Oryzias latipes: one gene and its partner. The main gene of each other region encodes a partner of the protein of the gene in region 2 in a complex. Links are inferred from orthologs where the notes say so. Each region holds a gene or a part of one and is shown on either strand. Other genes may lie near its edges.

The links.
Region 1: pole2 (region 2) and pole4 share a complex: the UniProt entries of both Homo sapiens proteins name them as parts of the DNA polymerase epsilon complex. The link is inferred for Oryzias latipes from reciprocal best matches to the Homo sapiens genes POLE2 and POLE4.

What each region holds. Positions count from the first base shown.
Region 1 is NC_019862.2:30,736,365-30,748,274, reverse strand, and holds pole4 (DNA polymerase epsilon subunit 4), read left to right. Parts: upstream 1-5,533; 5' UTR 5,534-5,705; coding exon 5,706-5,939; intron 5,940-6,075; coding exon 6,076-6,160; intron 6,161-7,456; coding exon 7,457-7,498; intron 7,499-7,610; coding exon 7,611-7,624; 3' UTR 7,625-7,781; downstream 7,782-11,910. Other genes in the region: serine/threonine-protein kinase NIM1-like, read right to left, coding at 158-426, 690-992, 3,984-4,005. UniProt on the Homo sapiens protein: Accessory component of the DNA polymerase epsilon complex. Participates in DNA repair and in chromosomal DNA replication.
Region 2 is NC_019880.2:6,714,459-6,721,338, forward strand, and holds pole2 (DNA polymerase epsilon subunit 2), read right to left. Parts: upstream 6,718-6,880; 5' UTR 6,620-6,717; coding exon 6,549-6,619; intron 6,377-6,548; coding exon 6,276-6,376; intron 6,026-6,275; coding exon 5,950-6,025; intron 5,737-5,949; coding exon 5,659-5,736; intron 5,549-5,658; coding exon 5,455-5,548; intron 5,375-5,454; coding exon 5,300-5,374; intron 5,195-5,299; coding exon 5,111-5,194; intron 5,003-5,110; coding exon 4,946-5,002; intron 4,855-4,945; coding exon 4,806-4,854; intron 4,728-4,805; coding exon 4,655-4,727; intron 3,849-4,654; coding exon 3,676-3,848; intron 3,603-3,675; coding exon 3,513-3,602; intron 2,653-3,512; coding exon 2,598-2,652; intron 2,525-2,597; coding exon 2,465-2,524; intron 2,377-2,464; coding exon 2,299-2,376; intron 2,203-2,298; coding exon 2,094-2,202; intron 1,950-2,093; coding exon 1,773-1,949; intron 1,660-1,772; coding exon 1,592-1,659; intron 1,506-1,591; coding exon 1,487-1,505; 3' UTR 1,350-1,486; and 1 more. UniProt on the Homo sapiens protein: Accessory component of the DNA polymerase epsilon complex. Participates in DNA repair and in chromosomal DNA replication.

The DNA of each region.
Region 1 (11,910 bases), on a different chromosome or scaffold from region 2:
AAAGTCCATTAGACATACAAGGATCAATCGTGGACAGCCACACATTTACGGATCACGAAAGACGAAAAATTTCACACGTGGAAACAAAAATGCGCAAAATGTACGTAGTGGCTAGCTGTGTGTCACGGCCTTTACAGTCAGAGTGACTGAAGCTCACCATGTGTTTGATGGCAGAGATGATCTGCGCAAAGACCAGTTTGGCCTCCAGGTCGTTGAGTTTCCCTCTGGTGGTTATCCTGGAGAACAGGTCTCCGCCGCTGCCGTACTCCATGACCAGGTACAGCTTCCTGCTGGTGTCGATCACCTCGTAGAGGCGCACTATGTTGGGATGGCTCAGCTTCTCCATGCAGCTGATCTCGGAGGAGGTCAAAGGCTGGCTTTTCTTATCCAGACGCGTCTTGTCCACGATTTTAACGGCGACTCTTTCTATAAAAAGACGGAGGATTAAAGTCAGTGACGGACTTAAAACAGACTCCTGAGGTGAAAGGGGTCGAGCGGGGGCAGAAGCTTATTGGTGAAGAACACACAGACACCGTTTCCATGGAAACGTTCATTTTCAAATGAAAGATGGTACATTTCTTTATGTTAGATGCTGAGAATTGCTGCTGCAGAAGACAAATTGCAAGAATGAGAATGCCAGTCAGAACAAAAAGGATAAGGATGCAACCAATGACCAGGGGTACCTTTACCTTTTGTTAAGGCGTGGATGCCCAGCTTTACAGTAGAGAAGTTACCCTGACCGATCTCCCCCCGCAGCTCATAGAAACTGACTCTTCGCCCCAGAATCAGCTCGTTGACGACCCTGTCGTTGTGGGCCATGTCGTAAATCACCCTTTCCAGGGGGGTCTGCTTCAGTCTCTCGGCCTCCGTCAGCTGTGGGACGGCACCGGCGGCAGAAGAGGGAGAAAGCAGGGCAGGTTTGTCCGCCTTCGCCGTCTGATCCTTGGATTTTTTCCACATTTTGTGCTTTGGCCATAACCGCGCGTTGACAGCTTTAAAACAAGAGAGGGCGAGAATTCAGACCAAACAGCTGAGGAGCTGCAGGAATAAAATAAAAAAACAGCGTTTGTTAATAACTGCAAATAAAGTAGAATTATATCCAAAAAACTCTCATTCAAGACAAGATTTCTGCTTTGTATTACTTCTTAATAAACTTTCGAAAAACTGTAATTAAAAATAATAAAGAGGACTGAAATGAACCCTATATTCATTCATCCTCTGATCCGTTTTGTTCCTCTCGGGGTCACGGGGCTGCCGGAGGATCCAAATATCCAATTAAAGATCCAAACTTTCCTTCAAAATTTACTTGTTCATAACTTGGGTTGCTTTAGAATTCCGTCACTGCTCGCTACCATTTTGTACTGCTGTCGGGATCTAAGGTTCCAAAATGGAGTGCCCTGGAATTTTCCCAGAAGTCTCTGCGAAAAAACCAGTGTGCACCAATAAATGGCCACCGATCCTCACTAGATTGGCAAAAATAAACCACAATACATTGAATTTAAATTATTTTTTATGTGAAAAAGTTGAGTTTTACTTTATTTTTCTGAAACTCTCCTAGTTTTCGTCATTAGTGGATTCATGAAATGTTCATGTTTATTAGGTTTTACTTCTAGAAATCGATGACGTCATATTTGCCATTAAAAAAAAAGCAGTGGTGTCCGAATTGCTTTTAGAATCCAGTTAACTAGAAAGTCCCGCACTATATGTTTTTTCTAGTAGTTAGGTAGTAGGGAGGGAATTTGGAAATTGTCTGAGTCCAATGTTTTCTGCCCTGTAACTCAAAGTCAGTCCACTCGGGGCAGTAGAAGGGCTTTTTCTGTTCATTTCAAAATGAATACTTTCATGAATGAATCCCATCGAGACGACTGTTGTTGTGATTTTTGGCTATACAAATAAAATTGAATTGAATGAAATCAATTGACTGTATATGAGAACTGGACTGAGTGACTCCTCCCTTCTGGCGTTCCAAACAGGAAGTACCTACTGGCTCCCAGGAGCCAAAATCCCTTAGACTTCTGCAAAGAACTAAACAGCTGTTACTCAGTCGTTCAATTCAATTCTATTAGTCTTATCTCAAATATTCAAGTTATGAACTGACCAATCAGATGCCTCAGGTGCCCGCTGGCCCCCACCTTGAACGTTTGATTGAGAGATTCTCACAAGCCCGCCTTCAGTGGAAGGGTGGTGGACTTCAAACATTCTCACTCCTGATTGGAGACAGCGGTTGCCATAGAAACGTCGACTCAGACCGACTTGGACCAATCACCACCGTCGTCCGGCTCCAGCATGGCGACGTCCGCACCGCAGACAAATGGCGTCTGATTTGGCTTCGTTTGGCTGGAGCCGGAAGTAAGGCAGTGACTTTCTATGGGCGATATCACACTCGCTCAGTCCAGTCCTTTTCTACAGTCGTAGGTGAAATCTCAAAAAGAGTTTTTGCGGGAAATGTTTTATTTTCAAAACTTTATGGTGACAATGACTGATGTATTGTTATTCATTTGTTTTACATTACTACTTGGTGTATTCAAAGAAAGCTGCATTTGTTGATAATTCATTTTTGATAGTTAAGTCACAGCACGGTGGATCAAATATGAGACAGTGGGTAAATTAGGGGATTTTGTCCTTAACAAACTAATATTGTTGTGAGCAAAAACTGAATAATGACCTAACAAATCCTAATTGGTACTATTAATATCACAAATAATTAGATTGCAATTTTATCAAAAACATCTTAACCCCCCCCCCGTTCTTTAATCCAGAGGATTTACGGGGTTAAATAAGAAAACACCCTGAGATTCCTGTCTGCATTTTATTGTTCCCAATTGTCAAATGTCTGACACCACACAGCAGCCCAAAGCCATTTTTTGAAGATTTAAAATCCCTTCATTCTGGACTTGTGGGTCAGAACATTAGCTGGAAACTTCTCTGCTCCTTATTTCCAGATCTGATTCTTGGACTGAGATCTATGTCTTTCCGGGCCTTCGTTCTTCTCTCCCTGCACAATAGTTTCTCTCTTTTTGCCAACTTTACGGCGAGTTTCCTGCCGTTTTCCAGGAAACGGCTGATTGCAGCAGGATTAAATAAAGAGCCGTGGCTGCAGGGTCAAAGCTGCTCTGCTCGTGTGCCAGAAAACCTTCAGAATAACAGAGCAGCGCTTTTTTGCAGGTTTCAAACTAAGTCTGCTGTCTGTACTGTGATGGTAGCGTGCCACCTCCAGGGCAATGTGGGTTAAATTTAGCACAGGGCTGGCTAAAGTCCTGGAATGGCTTGGATTACTTGCTTCTTTTAGTCTGAGTATTAGTGAGCCACTTCTGTTTGGAGAAAGCCATTCAGACGATTACTTGAGAAAACCTGAAATAAGGTCACAGTCAGAAACCCCTTAAGTCATAAATACAGTAGCATATGAGTATAGCACTGCTGTCATTTTGTCCATAAACCTGGAAATAAATAAAAGCAATAACTGATGTTTCAATATTTGCATTTCACAATAAAGAATAAAACGTTCTGGACTCTCTGTGAAGATAAAAAACTTAAATCAGACGACCTTTTGAAGTCTTTTTCTACTTCAGAACCATCCTGGATGGATGAGAGTTTTAATAGACAAAATGTTTTCACTATAAGTTTAACTCAGATAAAATAATGTCACTTGTTTCAACTTTACAATAAACTCATCCACCGAATAAGTAAATGCATGAATTGAAAACTGTCCATTTATAAATCTGAGCGTTATTTCTATAAAATTAATCTAATTTGCAGTTGTCATCGACTGTATAGCATCGAAGAAAAACTTGTAACTAATGTTGAAATGCAAGTTAAAAGCATTTGATGTTCTTACAATTACTTTTGCTTTTTATTAAATATGACAAATAAGAAAAATAATGCAACCTTTAAACAATTTCTAAGCAAGTAATGAATCACATCCAACCACTTTTCACTGTTAAAAAAATAAATTAAAAAAGTAGATAAAATTGCTTTAAAGTTACCTGGATTTTGTGGATCCTTCATCTCCGTCGCGGCCGCTCTAATACCTGACTGTGACCAAACGTGAAGGAGCTTCAGAGGCTCAATCGCTCCTCACAATCCTATTAATGCAGTGTATTAGGGAACTGCACATCATGTTCTCCGGAACGAACTGTCCCTCATGGAAAACGCTGAAATGATCATTTCAATGCCTGAACCGCAGTCGATCACATTTATGCACTAAAGTCTGTTTCTTACTGTGAAATAAAATCAGATGACCTCAGAATGAGGCAGCACCGGATCTATTCTTTTTTTTTTAAAGTCAAATACATGAACACAAAAACATCCGCAGCAAAAGAAAAACATGTGAAAAAAACATTACATCATTTAAAGAAATTATATACATTTCTTTTTTGGTTTTAAATTTAAAAAATGGGAAAAATGAGAAAAGGGGTTTCTGTCCTCGTCATTTATTTTCTTTACAAAAAAAATTAAAAAGGAATAAATCAAGCGAATATATATTTTTAAACATATTTTTAAATTAGACCCCAAAGTTGAGGAGAAGTTATATCTACCTGCAGCCCCCATGTATAGCAATCAAATGCAGTGTCGTTAACAGCCTGCAGGGCGGAGCTCTTCGGAGTGCAAAGTTAAAAAAAACAACTGCAAAGTTTCTTGTTTCTAATATTGGCATTTGAACATATTATCTGTCATTTCCTAAGCATTATTCTATACACAATAATTCTAAAGGAAATAAGAGGCTGCAGAATTGTATTTTGTGTGTCTGAGCAACAGAAAACCAACATTTTTATGTTTATACAATTGAAATTAAAATGGCTAAATACAGTCTGTTTCATTGCAAAACACTTTCCTCTTAAAAAAAGGTAAAGAGTTTAGAGGCAACAGCACAGCAGTTCTGATAAAGTCTTTTTTCTTTTCTTGAGTAAAAAACACATGTTTAAATATAGATGCTCAATAAAATGACCAAAAAAAAGTTAAAGAAATGTCTTCTGACAACATAATTGAAAAATATTTACAGTTTTCATAAAACTTAATTTGCGTTTTCTTTGCAACATTTTAACTTTTTTATTGGGTATGCAAAATTAGGGGCAATGTACAGTAAGGAAACTTTAAATAAAAACAGATTAAATGAAAAAATAAAATACATAATAATCAAAAGAAAAGAGTACCAGATATTTTCAAACCGTTTTTGTCAGGTAGTTTCGGGAGTAATTTTTAAATTTCTCTTTGTTTAGATTGTTGCTTTTAACAGCTTTATATTTAGCTTCACTTTGCTGCCACCTTGTGGACATTTTGTTTATTGGTGTTTTGTTAATTTATTTTTAACCCACTTTTTTCTTTTATCTACTAATCTTAATGAAAAGATTAAATTATATTCACCAAATTTATTTGAAAGAGTCTTACAGCTGATAAACATTTGACTGAGCCACTGAGTTGTCGGTAGTTGGGCGGTAACATTGTTTGAGTGGCAGTCACGTTTGACCAATCATACGGCTTTGTTGTCCAATCTGTCCAATCATTGACTTGAAAGCGTTGGCGGGACCAAAGGAAACTGACCAATAGGGATGCAGTGCCTCTACTAGACCGGAAGCACATGCTGGCGCGCTGCTGTTCGCCTTCGTTTGTTACTTTTATCTTTGTCATGAAGTTAGAAAGCTTAATAAATATCCGCGCGTCTGTTTTTTGATCACTTTTTGGTGGGGGGGAAAATAACTCCCCGTTCAATGGCAGCGCTCGTCTCCTCTACGGAGCAGGAGTCTGACAGGTGCGGGAGTGAGGAGGAGAACCGCGGAGTGGAAGCGGGGGACGGGGGCCAGCAGCAGCAGACGGGTCCCGCCGCACCCGGCGGCAGCCGCCTGTCCAAACTCCCGCTGGCTCGCATCAAAGCCCTGATGAAAACCGACCCAGACGTGTCCCTCGCCAGCCAAGAGTCTGTGTTTATCATCGCCAAAGCCACGGTGAGTCCCTGAACCCGCAGCCCGCTCCGCGAGGAGAAGGTTCGGCCCCGCACGGCACCATGGGATGCTATGATGGTCAGAGGTGATGATGATGATGATGATGATGATGGTGATGTTTCTCTCTTCTTCCTACCAGGAGTTGTTCGTTGAGATGATCGCCAAAGATGCTCTGGTTTACGCCCAGCAAGGGAAGAGGAAAACTCTGCAGAGGAAGGACCTGGGTAAGGCCTGAGGACGCTCCACATCTCTGCATTGTGCTCGATATTTGCCGAACTAGTGAGCATCATTTTCGCAGAGACTTCTGGGAAGTTTCTAGGGCACTGGAGTTTGGAATTGTAGGTTGTGTCCAAATTCCTTCCCTACTCACCAGATAACGCATTCGCCATGTTGTAGTGCTGTCTGAATCTACAATCTCCCAAATCCAGAGTCCTAGAAATTTCCCAGAAGTCTCTGCCAAAAACCAGCGTGCATCAATGCTCACTAGATCAGCGAATATAGACCACAATGCATTGCGTCGGAACGATTTTTGCCAAAAAATGTATTTTTTGTTAAACTATCAACATTTTTATCTTCAGAAGACATAATAAATAATCGTCATAAAACGCTCATATTAATTAGATTTTAACTTTGTGGAATCGATATTTGAAGCAGTGAGCCTGGTCTCCGAATTTCTTTTCAAATCCAGGGCACTACATAGAGCCGCTCTATAGTTTTTTAGTAGTTAGGGGTTAGGGCGGGAATTCAGAAACAACCTATAAATCAAACCAGAGTATAAGTCAAATAATAATGATAAAAAAGAAGAAATAATTATGTAGAAGTCGCACTTTGGGGAGAAATTAATTTAACAAAACACGGTAAAAAATACCAGACATTTCATCTTAAAATAAATAGCAGGTATAGACTGAATATTTACAACTTCACTACTGTAAAAGTATTTAGTTTGATGACAAATAGGAGGAATCTATTCAAATTAGTGAAACATATGAACAGTTGTTCAGATAACCATGACATAAAGAACATGCTAACAAGAGCGGCGTAAGACTGAGCGGCGCTTCTTCACTGTCAGTAACAAACATCTACAGAACACATCTGGCTCCAAACTCTGGATGGCTCCAATATCGCTCGCCATTTCTGTTGCACCGCTCATGCTAGGTTGAGGGGCTGTATGTAAGAGAGTATGTAAACAGAGAACTCTCAGACACGGTTAGGGAATGGGTTGCTATGGCCCAAGGCCCCGCCCACAACTCGCAGGTGAATTTCTACTGAACTCCTGCCACTCTACAGAAAATATGTCCACGAAACAACAAACAAACAAAAAACGGCATCATTATAATTGAAAGACGGTTTTGAAAATGGATCAACAGATGATCGGAGTGGGACAGTAGAATAAACAAATGAACATTAAATTCATTAAAATTCAAACATATTTAGTTTCTTTTTTGTGTTTCATTTGACAAACTTCAGTGGTTTCTCCTCCTGAGTTTCATTCGTTTGTTGTTGTTTTGTTGTCCCTGCAGACAACGCAATAGAGGCCGTAGACGAGTTTGCATTTCTTGAAGGTAAAAAAACCCACGTTCTTTCTGCACATGCATGTTACTGACAGCGTGTGCACAGGAACATTTCATTGACATGTTTGTGCATCCGGTAACTGTATCATTTTTTTCTCTGCAGGCACGCTGGACTAGAGACGACCGGCTTGACGGGCGGCGCGAGCGAGCGAGCGACTTCCTCCGGTCCGTTTGTGCAGAGACAAAAAGCTCTTCTGCTTAAGGACTCGTACATATGTACACTGTTGTGTAAATATTTTTGCTAAATTCACTGAAATAAATGCGTTTGAAACTACCGGTTTATTTCTAAAGTCATTCCTTGCTGCATTGTGGGTAAGGTTGGTTGCCAGCATCTTAAAATACATTTAGAATCGTTTTGATTAATAAAGTTTGAAGGAATTAAATTCTTGAACATTTTATAAAAAGAAAAGAAAACAACAGGTTTGTATTTTCAGACAGTCACAACATGATTCTGATTCATTTCCTTGATAAGTTTGTGTTTTCGGAAAGAAACAACTAAAAACTTCCTAAAAGGGTTCAAATCTAAACTGTAAACACCTAAACCTTTATGTTTTATGGACGCTGGATCCTTGGATGCCAGTACTTTATATTAGCTATTGTGAGTCGAAAGTATATTTGGGCTGAGAACATACATGTTTATGTGAAATAAACAGGCCGTCATAGTTTTTGACTTCAGAGTAAAGTCCTGAAATATTGGAATATTTGTTTTTAAAATGGGAATTGGTTCATTTCAAGGAAACAAAAACTTAAGAAAACACACAAAATGATAGATATAGATAAAACTAACTTAAGACAAGTCATGAACTAATAGTAATATAAAAATTACAGAGGAAAATAATAGAAATGCATAGTTTTAAGTATACAAGCATGTGTAAATGACATCATAAATATAATAATTTTCTTCCATACATATTCTACATGACTCATTTAATAGGATAAATATAGACTTTGGTAAATTGCTTAAGGAATGGGGCGAGGAGGGTTCATATTCCAAATAATAGCAAAGATGATTCCAAAAAAGACAAAATACATAATCACTTCAAGTAATAATAACATAAGGTGCTTATTGATTATGATCAGAAAAGATGATTAAATGAGTCCAGAATTCACGGCTGAACCACATGTGGTTATGATGTTAAATGAATGGTTCATATAGAAAGTTCATGAAACATTCATCCTTCTGGATTTTAATGATTTCCCTTTTATCTGTGAAAGCCTGAGTCAGGTGGAACCGTACAAAACGAACATTTTATTGATAGCAAAGCTGGTGGGATCTATGTGGTCTAGTTCTGCTCAATAAGTCGCAAATTTATCGTTATGGTGATATCTATCTGTGCAATACGCTTATCGCAAAAGATGGCGAAAATCACAATAAGAGGATACCGGTACTTGAAATGTGCTTAAACAAACTTATGGCACCTTGAAGTATTTAGTGAATCAAATAAATCCATTTACGCATTTGACCAATCAGATGAAGCCCTTTTATATTAGATGTTCACCTCCTATGCAGACTAGTTTCATTTGAAGTATAATTTAAGTTATTTTAACTCTTATTTAAATTAAACTGTAGCAGTGAAATGGAAATTATGTTTTTGGTTGTTTTGCTATTTGTTCATGTATCGCAAGTTATAGCGTCATCGCAATTTTGATCATTAATATCGCAAGTTTTCCTCATATCGTTCAGCCGTAACCCTTGTGCTATCCTAGGCACGTTGACGTTGGGAGTTGGGTCATCTAGACCCACTAGACAGTGCGCTGAACCTTTTTTCTTCAATGATTTGTGATCTTCACTGGTGTCCATGGATTACATGAAATCTTTCCACCTTTATCCACCTTTGTCATGGTAGGGAGAACACGTCAATGTAAAGATCGGGTCATCTGGACCCCACATGATAGCACAAGGGCTAATGTGGTCCCTTCTATTTGTACTTAGCACCTCTTTTTCCTCACAAGATGACAGTCGTCTTTGGGGAAACTGTTCAAATGTGCATCTCAGGCGATCTTCAGACCAGCAGGAGGAAAGGAAAAATAAAACATTAAAAAAACTACTGCAACAAAATATTCAAAGAAGATTAAGGAAAAAAGGAGTATTTATAGATTAAAAAGATTAGTAATTTTCTATTTGCCAAATTTCAGAACAAAAACAGGCGAACCGTATTTTAATTCAAGGAGTCAAGACCTGAAACAATCTGAACACAACAATTGAAGAAATCACCTTCAAAAAACGCATTTAAAAAATGCTGCTTCAACAATTCAACAAATGAACCGTGTTGACTGATTCCAGGCACGACTTAGAAAATTACAAATAAGACAATATCTGGGATATTCTAAGCAAAAGACTAGTCTAAAATTTCTTCTATATTGCAGAACATATATATATATATATATTTCCGGCTGGGTAGCTCGGTTGGTAAGGTGCAGGACTGTCATGCAGGAAACCCGGGTTCGATTCCCAGGGCGGAATGAACAATTAATGGCAATGAAAAATGGGGCAATTACCATGACAATGGAAATGGGGCAATTACCATAACAATGACGGGCAATTAACATCACCCAGTGAGGGTCCTTGGGCAAGACCCTTAATGCTACCGCCTACCTCACAACATGAGAGACAATGAACCACATGTCATGCCGGCTCAGACGTCGCCCGGCCAAACAAGGTCTGCGTCAGGTGCTGAGGGACCAGAGAACCCTGATGGAAAGTCGGCTACTGGGACAAGACGGAAATGGACTAGATGTGAGAACAAGGTTCTGTTAGAATGCTACTACTCAAGTAATCCCACCCAGAGGGGTTACATGCAGAGAATGTGGAATGAATGGATGCTTCGAAACCCACAATCAGGGCTAACTGCCAAACAACTGGTAGCCCAGTGCTCTAACATCCACAAACAGCAACTCCTATCACAACTTGAGATTGAAGCAATACAATACAATGCCATGGGAGAGCCAGAACAACAGGTCAGAGAGGAGGTTATACCACACTCCCACCCTGAGATTGGGTACACAGCCCCAACAACCACAATTACACTGAGCGAGGCAGCAACTGACCTGAAAGACAAGATCATGTCTACAATGAACACTAGGCAGCCCCGACACCAGCTACAACGGTTAAGTGATGTACCGCCTGAAAGTCTACTGGAAACTGTGAATGAAGCATTGAGGGCAATTCCTACCACAACCATCACAGAAACCAATGAAATGGTTTACACTTCAGCAGCAGTGATCCTTGAGATGCTTGGCTATAAGAGCAACCATGGAAGAAAACAATACCCACCATGGAAGCAACGGTTAGATTAGATTAGATTAGATTCAACTTTATTGTCACTGCACATGTAGGTACAAGGCAACGAAATGCAGTTGGCATCTAACCAGAAGTGCAATAAGCAGTAAGTACAGAATAAAGTTCTATAGGATGTACAATAACTATACAGGTTAGTATTATGGACATACTTTACAGATATTAATACTATAAGCACGATATACAGATAGGTGTACTATGAATATACTATACAGATGGGCTATGTAAAAGGGTATGAACACTATAGGCAGAACTATGAACATAATTTACAGTATTGCAATGGACAGTAAAGTGCATAGAAAATATTACAATGTGCAGATGGATTATACAGTGTTCCTGGATGAACAGACAGTAGTGCAAGTAATAAGTTACTGTTTTTGCTTGTTGTGAATAAATAAATGATTCAGAGTGTTGAAGAGGGGGGGAGGAGTCTATGGTGGTGTGTGTGTGGGGGGGGGGGGTGTTTTAGGGGTGTCAGAGGGAAGAGTTCAGCAAGGAGACAGCTTTAGGGAAAAAGCTGTTCCTGAATCTTGTGGTCCTTGTCCGGAGGCTCCTGAAACGCCTCCCGGAGGGGAGGAGGTTAAACAGTCCGTGGTCAGGGTGAGAGGAGTCCTTGAGAATGCTGCGAGCTCGACGTAGACAGCGTTTCCTCTGGATGTCCTCAAGAGCAGGAAGTGGTGTCCCTGTGATGCGCTGGGCAGTTTTCACCACCCTCTGCAGTGCCTTGCGGTCAGCCACTGAGCAGTTCCCGTACCAGACTGAGATGCAACCTGTTAGGGTGCTCTCGATCGCACACCGGTAAAAGTTCACCAGGATGGATGAAGACAGCTGGTTCTTCTTCAGTGTCCTGAGGAAGAAAAGGCGCTGGTGAGCCTTCTTGACCAGGCTGGAGGTGTTTGTGGCCCAGGACAGGTCCTCCGAGATGGTGGTTCCCAGGAACTTGAAGCTGGAAACACGTTCAACAACCATCCCGTTAATGTGGATGGGGTCATGAGTGCTTCCATTCTTCTTCCTGAAGTCCACAATGAGCTCCTTGGTCTTGTTGGTGTTGAGGAGCAGGTTATTGTCAGCACACCATGTGGCCAGGTGCTGTACCTCTTCCCTG
Region 2 (6,880 bases):
GCAAATGTGTTTTTCTTTAAAGAAAACTACACAAAAAAACAAAGAAAACAGCGCCAAAGCAGCTACATCATTCTGACCTACTTTGCCAGCTTAACTATTTAGGTTACTATGCTAACAGCTAACATCTACAGACGATCGATGATCCACTCATACAAGTTCAGAAAGCTTTTGCACCCAAATTATTTCTTTAAAGTAATAAGATTCGTCAAATTAACTACTGATAAAGCCTCTAATTTGATCAAAAGCTTCTTTCTTTTGAGCTTCAGAGCGTTTATTTGTATGCTAAAAACAAAGCAAATTCCAATTTTCGACTCTAACGTATTTTTGGGAATTTTGATGACGAATGTAACCAATATTTTTTAACCACAGAACAATAGTTATGTCTATGAATAATAAACCTACCTTATGAGTAATTTTTATTTCCTGTAAATATCAAAAAGGCTCCACCATTACAATGAGGAGACCTGCTAGAAGAGGTTCACCGGAAATGATTAACCTAGCAGACCGGAAGTCAACAGATCTTACAGTTTACATTTAAAAAAATGAAAAGCGAGGAACATGAACATTCAATTTGGATTTATTTAATTGGAGTTCGTTCCAAATGACTTCTGTAGCATATTCTCCTAATTGAAGACACACAACATTAGCCATAAACGCCGCTCGAAATGCTATAAAACAATGCAAATAATTTCAAAATAAAACCATTTCTAATTCTTCCAATTCTTCTTCGTTCTAATTTTCCCAATAAAGCCGTTTCCCTGTAATAAAATGTCATCTTGTAATGGAAGGGCAGCTGTTTATCTGTCAAGTAAAATAAATAAATTAAAATATAATGTTAAAATAACCTGAGAAACTATTTAAGTTGTTACATATGTGAATCTCTAGAAAGTACTAGTAGTACCGATAGTAGTAAGGTAATGTTGCTATTGCAATAGTTCCTTTCTTTTTCTGTGCAAAAGGTTAATCATCTTTGTTTTTTTGCATAAAAATTTTGAAAATAAAAGTTAGCCCTTTTTTTTAAACTTGATTGTTAGCTAAACTGATCCTGAAAAGTAAAACAAATACAGAGTAGATTGCAAGCGTATTTAAAATTGGGCAATGTCAAAGTCTCAGAGAAAACATTTCCTGCAGGATAGCGATGAAACTTTAATTTCTTGTCGTATTTTTACACTGCTGATGTCAATAGAAATGTCAAACTATATTTTCCCTGTAAAGACTTTGCGCAAAATATATATATATTTTTAAATTAGTTTAAAATTTTAAGACAAACTTTTGTTTGGTTTTGCATTTTTAAGGCAGTTTGCACGAAGTATTCCTGACTATAATCTCTTCACATAAAGATCAGAATATTCACCAAAAGTAATAAAACTTTATTATTCATGACAGAACAAAGAAAAAAACATTAAAATCTTTTGATTACAAATCATCTAAAAGTATCTACAGAGTTATGCACACAACAGTAAGCCAGGTAAACTCTTCTTTTTCTTTAGAGTCCTTGGAGTTTACTGTAAAGACAAAGGAAATGTTTAGTGTAAACACTATAACAGTCAAAGAAAGCTTATGTAAATAGAAAAATATGACTGTGTCTCACCTGTCCTCTACAGTTTTGTTGGACGGGTAATACACCTTGAATGTGAAGCCGCTTTTAGGGAATGAGCCCTGCAGAAATAAACATTTGTTAGACATTTCAAATAACTAAAGGGTAATATAAGTACCTAGAAAAATGAGGAAAAATAAAACAAAAGACTATTGAGGATTCTTCAGTCTCATACCGGGTTGACACTGAGGCAGTCAGTGTTGGTGATGGTGAAGGGGTCGTACTTGTCTGCAAAGACAACGACATCAGGCACCGGGTAGACGCGCAGGGAGTAGTCATAGGCCCAGAACACAGGACTGACGTACAAAGGCAGCGGAGTCAAATGACCCTGAGACAGGATCGTCTTAACAAACTGTGAGAAAGAAAAGAGGAAGACATCATCGCCTGAAGCAACATCATAAATGTACAACATATATATTTAGATAATTAAAAAAAATAAACTGATAGCCGAATGTACCAGAGGGACAAAAGCTTACAGAGATGACATGAAACGTACATGGTTTGGGATGTCAAGGTTACTGTTGGGTAACCTGATGCAATTCCTGCACATCTTGTTAACAAGATCCTCTCTGATCACTAGGATCTCCTGGCTGCAGTACTGGATCCTGGTCAGAACAAAAGTCCGTTTTTATCATAGTTTAACATGACAAACTCATTTTATGTAGACAGTTAACATCTATGAGTGGAACTGTATGTTTTACCTGCATGGGTTGGTGGTAAAAACTGAGAATGGCACTCTCTCACTGAACTCCTCTGTGATGTTTTGTACCAGGGGGGGCCTAAAATATATTTACAAGAGATGTTTGTCCAGAACTCGGATCAAAATGTCAGCTTCCTCAGTTCTAAAAAATGATTCTGAAGATTCACCTCGGCAGGATGTTTGCTGGACCGGGGTCCTCAGGACCCGGAACGAACACGAAGCGACTACTGCAGGGTTTAGATGAGTCGGCGTTTAAACTGGAACGCAGAGTATGACTCAGAGAAAAGGGTCAAATCCTACCTGCTGTGAATGCTGGGATATGTACAGATCATGTCAGCCAGGGCTTTCAGGGATTCTAATAGAAAAACAAAAGACAAATATTATTGATTGACGTCTGCACAAATTTTTACAATGTTCATTCATTCAAAATGTTCGTTTTCATTTATTTTATCCATGTTTAGAACCAATCCCCCCTTTGTGGTGCATCTATTTTATTTTTGTATTTTAACAAATTCACTCTTTAATATTTAGATGCCTATGGTAATATTTGACCTTACTGTTTTGAAAGGTCATAAGTGAAAATTATGAATAAGCTTTACTGATACACTTATTTGATTATATTAGTTTAAGATTGAAAGTGAGCTTTTTTTTCTATTAATAGCTCATATTCACAGAACTGCTTTTGTTTTTCAGTTCCTTAATTCCCCTTTCTTCAAGCAAAATTTTACAGTTTAGTGTTCCTTTGCACTGCAAAAATCCACCTTTGAAATAATAAAATATATATGTTTATTGTAACATGCAATTACGGCATAACTATTCAAACCGACAAAACTTGGTTGACTTGCAATGGCATCAAAATACATGTTCAATCGTTTTTCATCTTTAGAATCGAACTTTTATTAATCCCGTTTAAGGGAAATGTAAGAGACAACATAGCTGTAAAAAGAATAAATAAATAAATAAAAACAGCAGATTAGTACCGGTAACCATAAAAAATAAATTACACAATCAAAAATAAGTCCTTAGTTTCACATCTGGCCCCTATGAAGCATAAAAATATGGTACTACAAGTATGTTTACGAGCAGCCAGCATCACTAAATTGTTAAAGCACTAAATGCGGGACAGAAACAAGGCAAAGGAAAATAACAGAACCCCATTTAAAAGGGAGAAAAAGCTCTCATTCTTTACCAAGCATGCAGCCAAAAGAGGCTCACCTTTCAGCGATCTATTCTGTGTTTTTCCATATGGGGCCGAAGAGAAGTTTCCACACAAAATGAAGCAGGTAGGAGGCATTGCAGCATATCCTAAACAGAGAAAAACAATAACAACGTGAAGCCCATGAAGAATAGAATATTGTTCTGTGAAATTCTGCTTTACCTGAAAACATGATGTTGAGCTTTTCCATCACTTCTACGCTGTCCAGCCAGACGTCAGAGACGATCACAAACATGGCATCTTCGTTCTCTTCCTCCAGCTGCTTGAGCTTGGAGGAAGCCTTGACGGACGTGGACGATGGACCGCCAAAGAAGTTTATGTTGCCGTAGTACGACCTGGAGTTTATGCAGACAGTATATTATGGTATGGGAGAAACAAATCCCCCTGCACCAACTGTGCTTTCATAAAAACCATCCTTTAAATTATTTCTAACATTTAGAACTGGATTCTTTCTAATTTCAAACTATTTTGAAAAAGCAATAAAAATGTAAATGTAGCTCCTCTTAACGGTCTGCTTGACTTGTCTTGATTGTGCTTCTATAGTTTCCTTCATTACCTGCACATTTATTAAAAGTTGCTGGCCGCCCTAACAGCAGTCGTCCCTCACTTAACTACAGGTCACTTTTAATGCTTTTGTCTTTGTATTGATTTTTTTTTTGCGGTGCATTGCTTTCTATGTCCTGATTGGCTGTAGAACATCATCAAATCTGATTTGATTGATTGATTAATTAATTAATTTCAATAAAAAAAAGACTGAATAAAGACACATAAAAAACATTTCAGATATAAAGAATAAATTGATTAGAAAATGTTTGTCTCTTTGTCTTTGTGCTGCGTCTCCTGTACAGAAAGTCTTCAGTTCGTCAGAGTTACATAAATCCTAATCAGATATTTGGGGTCATTCTATATAATATTGGACTTCATTTTCTATGAAGGTTTAAACTCAGAGTTTAAACAAGAAAGAAAAGCGTCAAAATGTTCATGTCTGTCTGAGAAAAGTGCACAAAAGTGTGTTGTGAGACATTTTATAGCCTTAAAATATTTAAATTGACTGGGTTTAGTTTAGTTTGTCTATCATTAGAAAGTAACTCCCGTGATAAACGTGGAATTACTGAACAGAAATTCGAGTCCGCAGGTTTACCTGGTCGCCGATGACGGCTCTGTTGGGGGGAAACCAAAGCCATTGACATGAAGAACAGAATCCTCGTACCACCCTGCAGAACAAACAGGAACCCTTTTATTTTAGCTCCACACCTTTCCAAAGCTGTGGAGTTAAACAGAATTAGTCTTACCTTCTGCCAAAACAAAGCAGGACTCTGTATAGAGGCCATTATGGAACTGGTAAAAAAAATAGTGCTCAGGAAAATGTTTCTTTGCAATTGTAATAAACTTTTTTTTTTAGTGGCAAACCCTAAAGTCTTTCAAAGGATATTGCCTTGGACAAATCCAGCTGTACGGTTCCACTTGGATCTTCGAGGTAAAATTTACCCTTTAAACATAAAAACAAATTGGGCCAAAAAAAAAAAAAAGGTTCATCTTAAATAAATCTCATCTTGTTAGCGATTGAAAAAATCAGTTCAAAAGTTTCTTATCTAACCTCTTTAAGTTGTGTGATCATCCCGAGTACGATCACCTCCCCAAGCTTAGATGTGCTCCCGAGCAACGCTTCAATTGTCTTGAGCTACACAAACAAGAAAAGAGGTACATTAGTAGCCACACAAATGGTTTCAACTCTTAAACAAAATAATACTTTGGTCATTTTTAGATTGGTATACGTTTCCTTTACCTGAAATTTATTTTGACCCTCTTCAACAGCAGCTCCAATTGCTGGTGGGGTGAAGAGCTCATGACGGTGTGTGCGCTTAAAAAACGAAAACAAATAAATGTGAGCATGAGCATACCTGCAGAACAGAACAGCGTAATCCAGTTATTGTGACGTACCTGCTGTAAGATTGTATAGCGCTCCCTGAAAAGTTCCGCTTTGTCTTTGGCAGAACCACACAGACTGGGAGCTGGATGACCGGTCATATTGATGCTGCAAGAAAAAGGAAATACAAGTGTAGCAAAACACAAAAATGTGGCAACACCAAAACACTCAAATCAGACTCCTGTAAATAGAAAGAAGAAGAAAAAAGAAAAGCTCACGGTAGAAATTTCTTTCTCTCCACGCTGTAAATGTATCTGGGCACGTCAAAGGCTCCAATGATGTTAAAAATATTGTCACTGCAAAAGAATTCAAATTAATATTATTTAATGACCACAAACTGTAGCAAACATTTTATTTAGTTTAATTTATCACAAAAACAAAGCACAGTTTTGCAGCAGTTCACATTACAGTGACACAGACAGAATATCTCGTAACAACAAGAACAATAAAGAAATAAATTTAAGAAAAACGTTTTATATTTTCTGTTCTAATTGATAAACGTTTCTTACATGGTTTCATCACATGACTGGGTGCAGTCCTGTACAGCACTTTCTACCACAGCCAGCTCGATCATATTCGAGGACACTGTTGGTAATAAAAAACAAACACATAAATCAGCTGAAGCTACTTGGAAGTGAAGAGTGTCAAGATGTTTCCAGAAGAGAAGACATTAAGTCTAGATGCCAAAACACAACTTCTAGGCATTGTCAGCTGGATAATCTTCAGCACTAAATGTGTGATGAAGATCTTCCAGATTGAACACATGATCCATTTTTCCTCATCGGTACACCAAAAATACACAGAGACTTGCAGAAAGTGACTGAAGTACACTTACACGGCTGCTTCTCCACCGAATCCAGCACCTTCTCAATGACATCCTCAAGTTCAGAGACATTGACTGATTCCAGGACTTCAGCAAGATACCGACTGGCTTCACTGGAGAGGAGAGAAAAACTAAAAATCCTATACAACAACACAACCTCATAAAAACACATAATAAACCTAAAGAAGAAAATGAACAAAAGTACAATGAGGTTCTGTAGTCGATACTACTATAAATAATAGAAAAATCAAAGGTTCACATTTATTACACAAAAGGCAAGCTTACGGTCGAAGTATAAGTCCCCTCATCTTGAAACCAGCCGTCACTTTAGCCTTTATTTTTCGAGGTAAATCCATGTTTGTGTTTGTTGCAGCGGCTCAAGATTTGGCGCTAAAAGGCAACTTCCGTGTTTTTCGTCACTTCCGCCAATGAGGGATTTCTTCTTTTTTCCTTTGTATTGTTTTTTTTGCTTCTCCTCCATTTTTCAGCCAATTACAATTTTATTCAAGGGGTTCACTTTTATGAAAAAGTTTAAAAATATAATAGCAAGTCCTCGAATTGCCTTTTTTAAATTTTTGCTTTGTTCAAATGTTTTCCAAAAGAATGTTACCATGAAA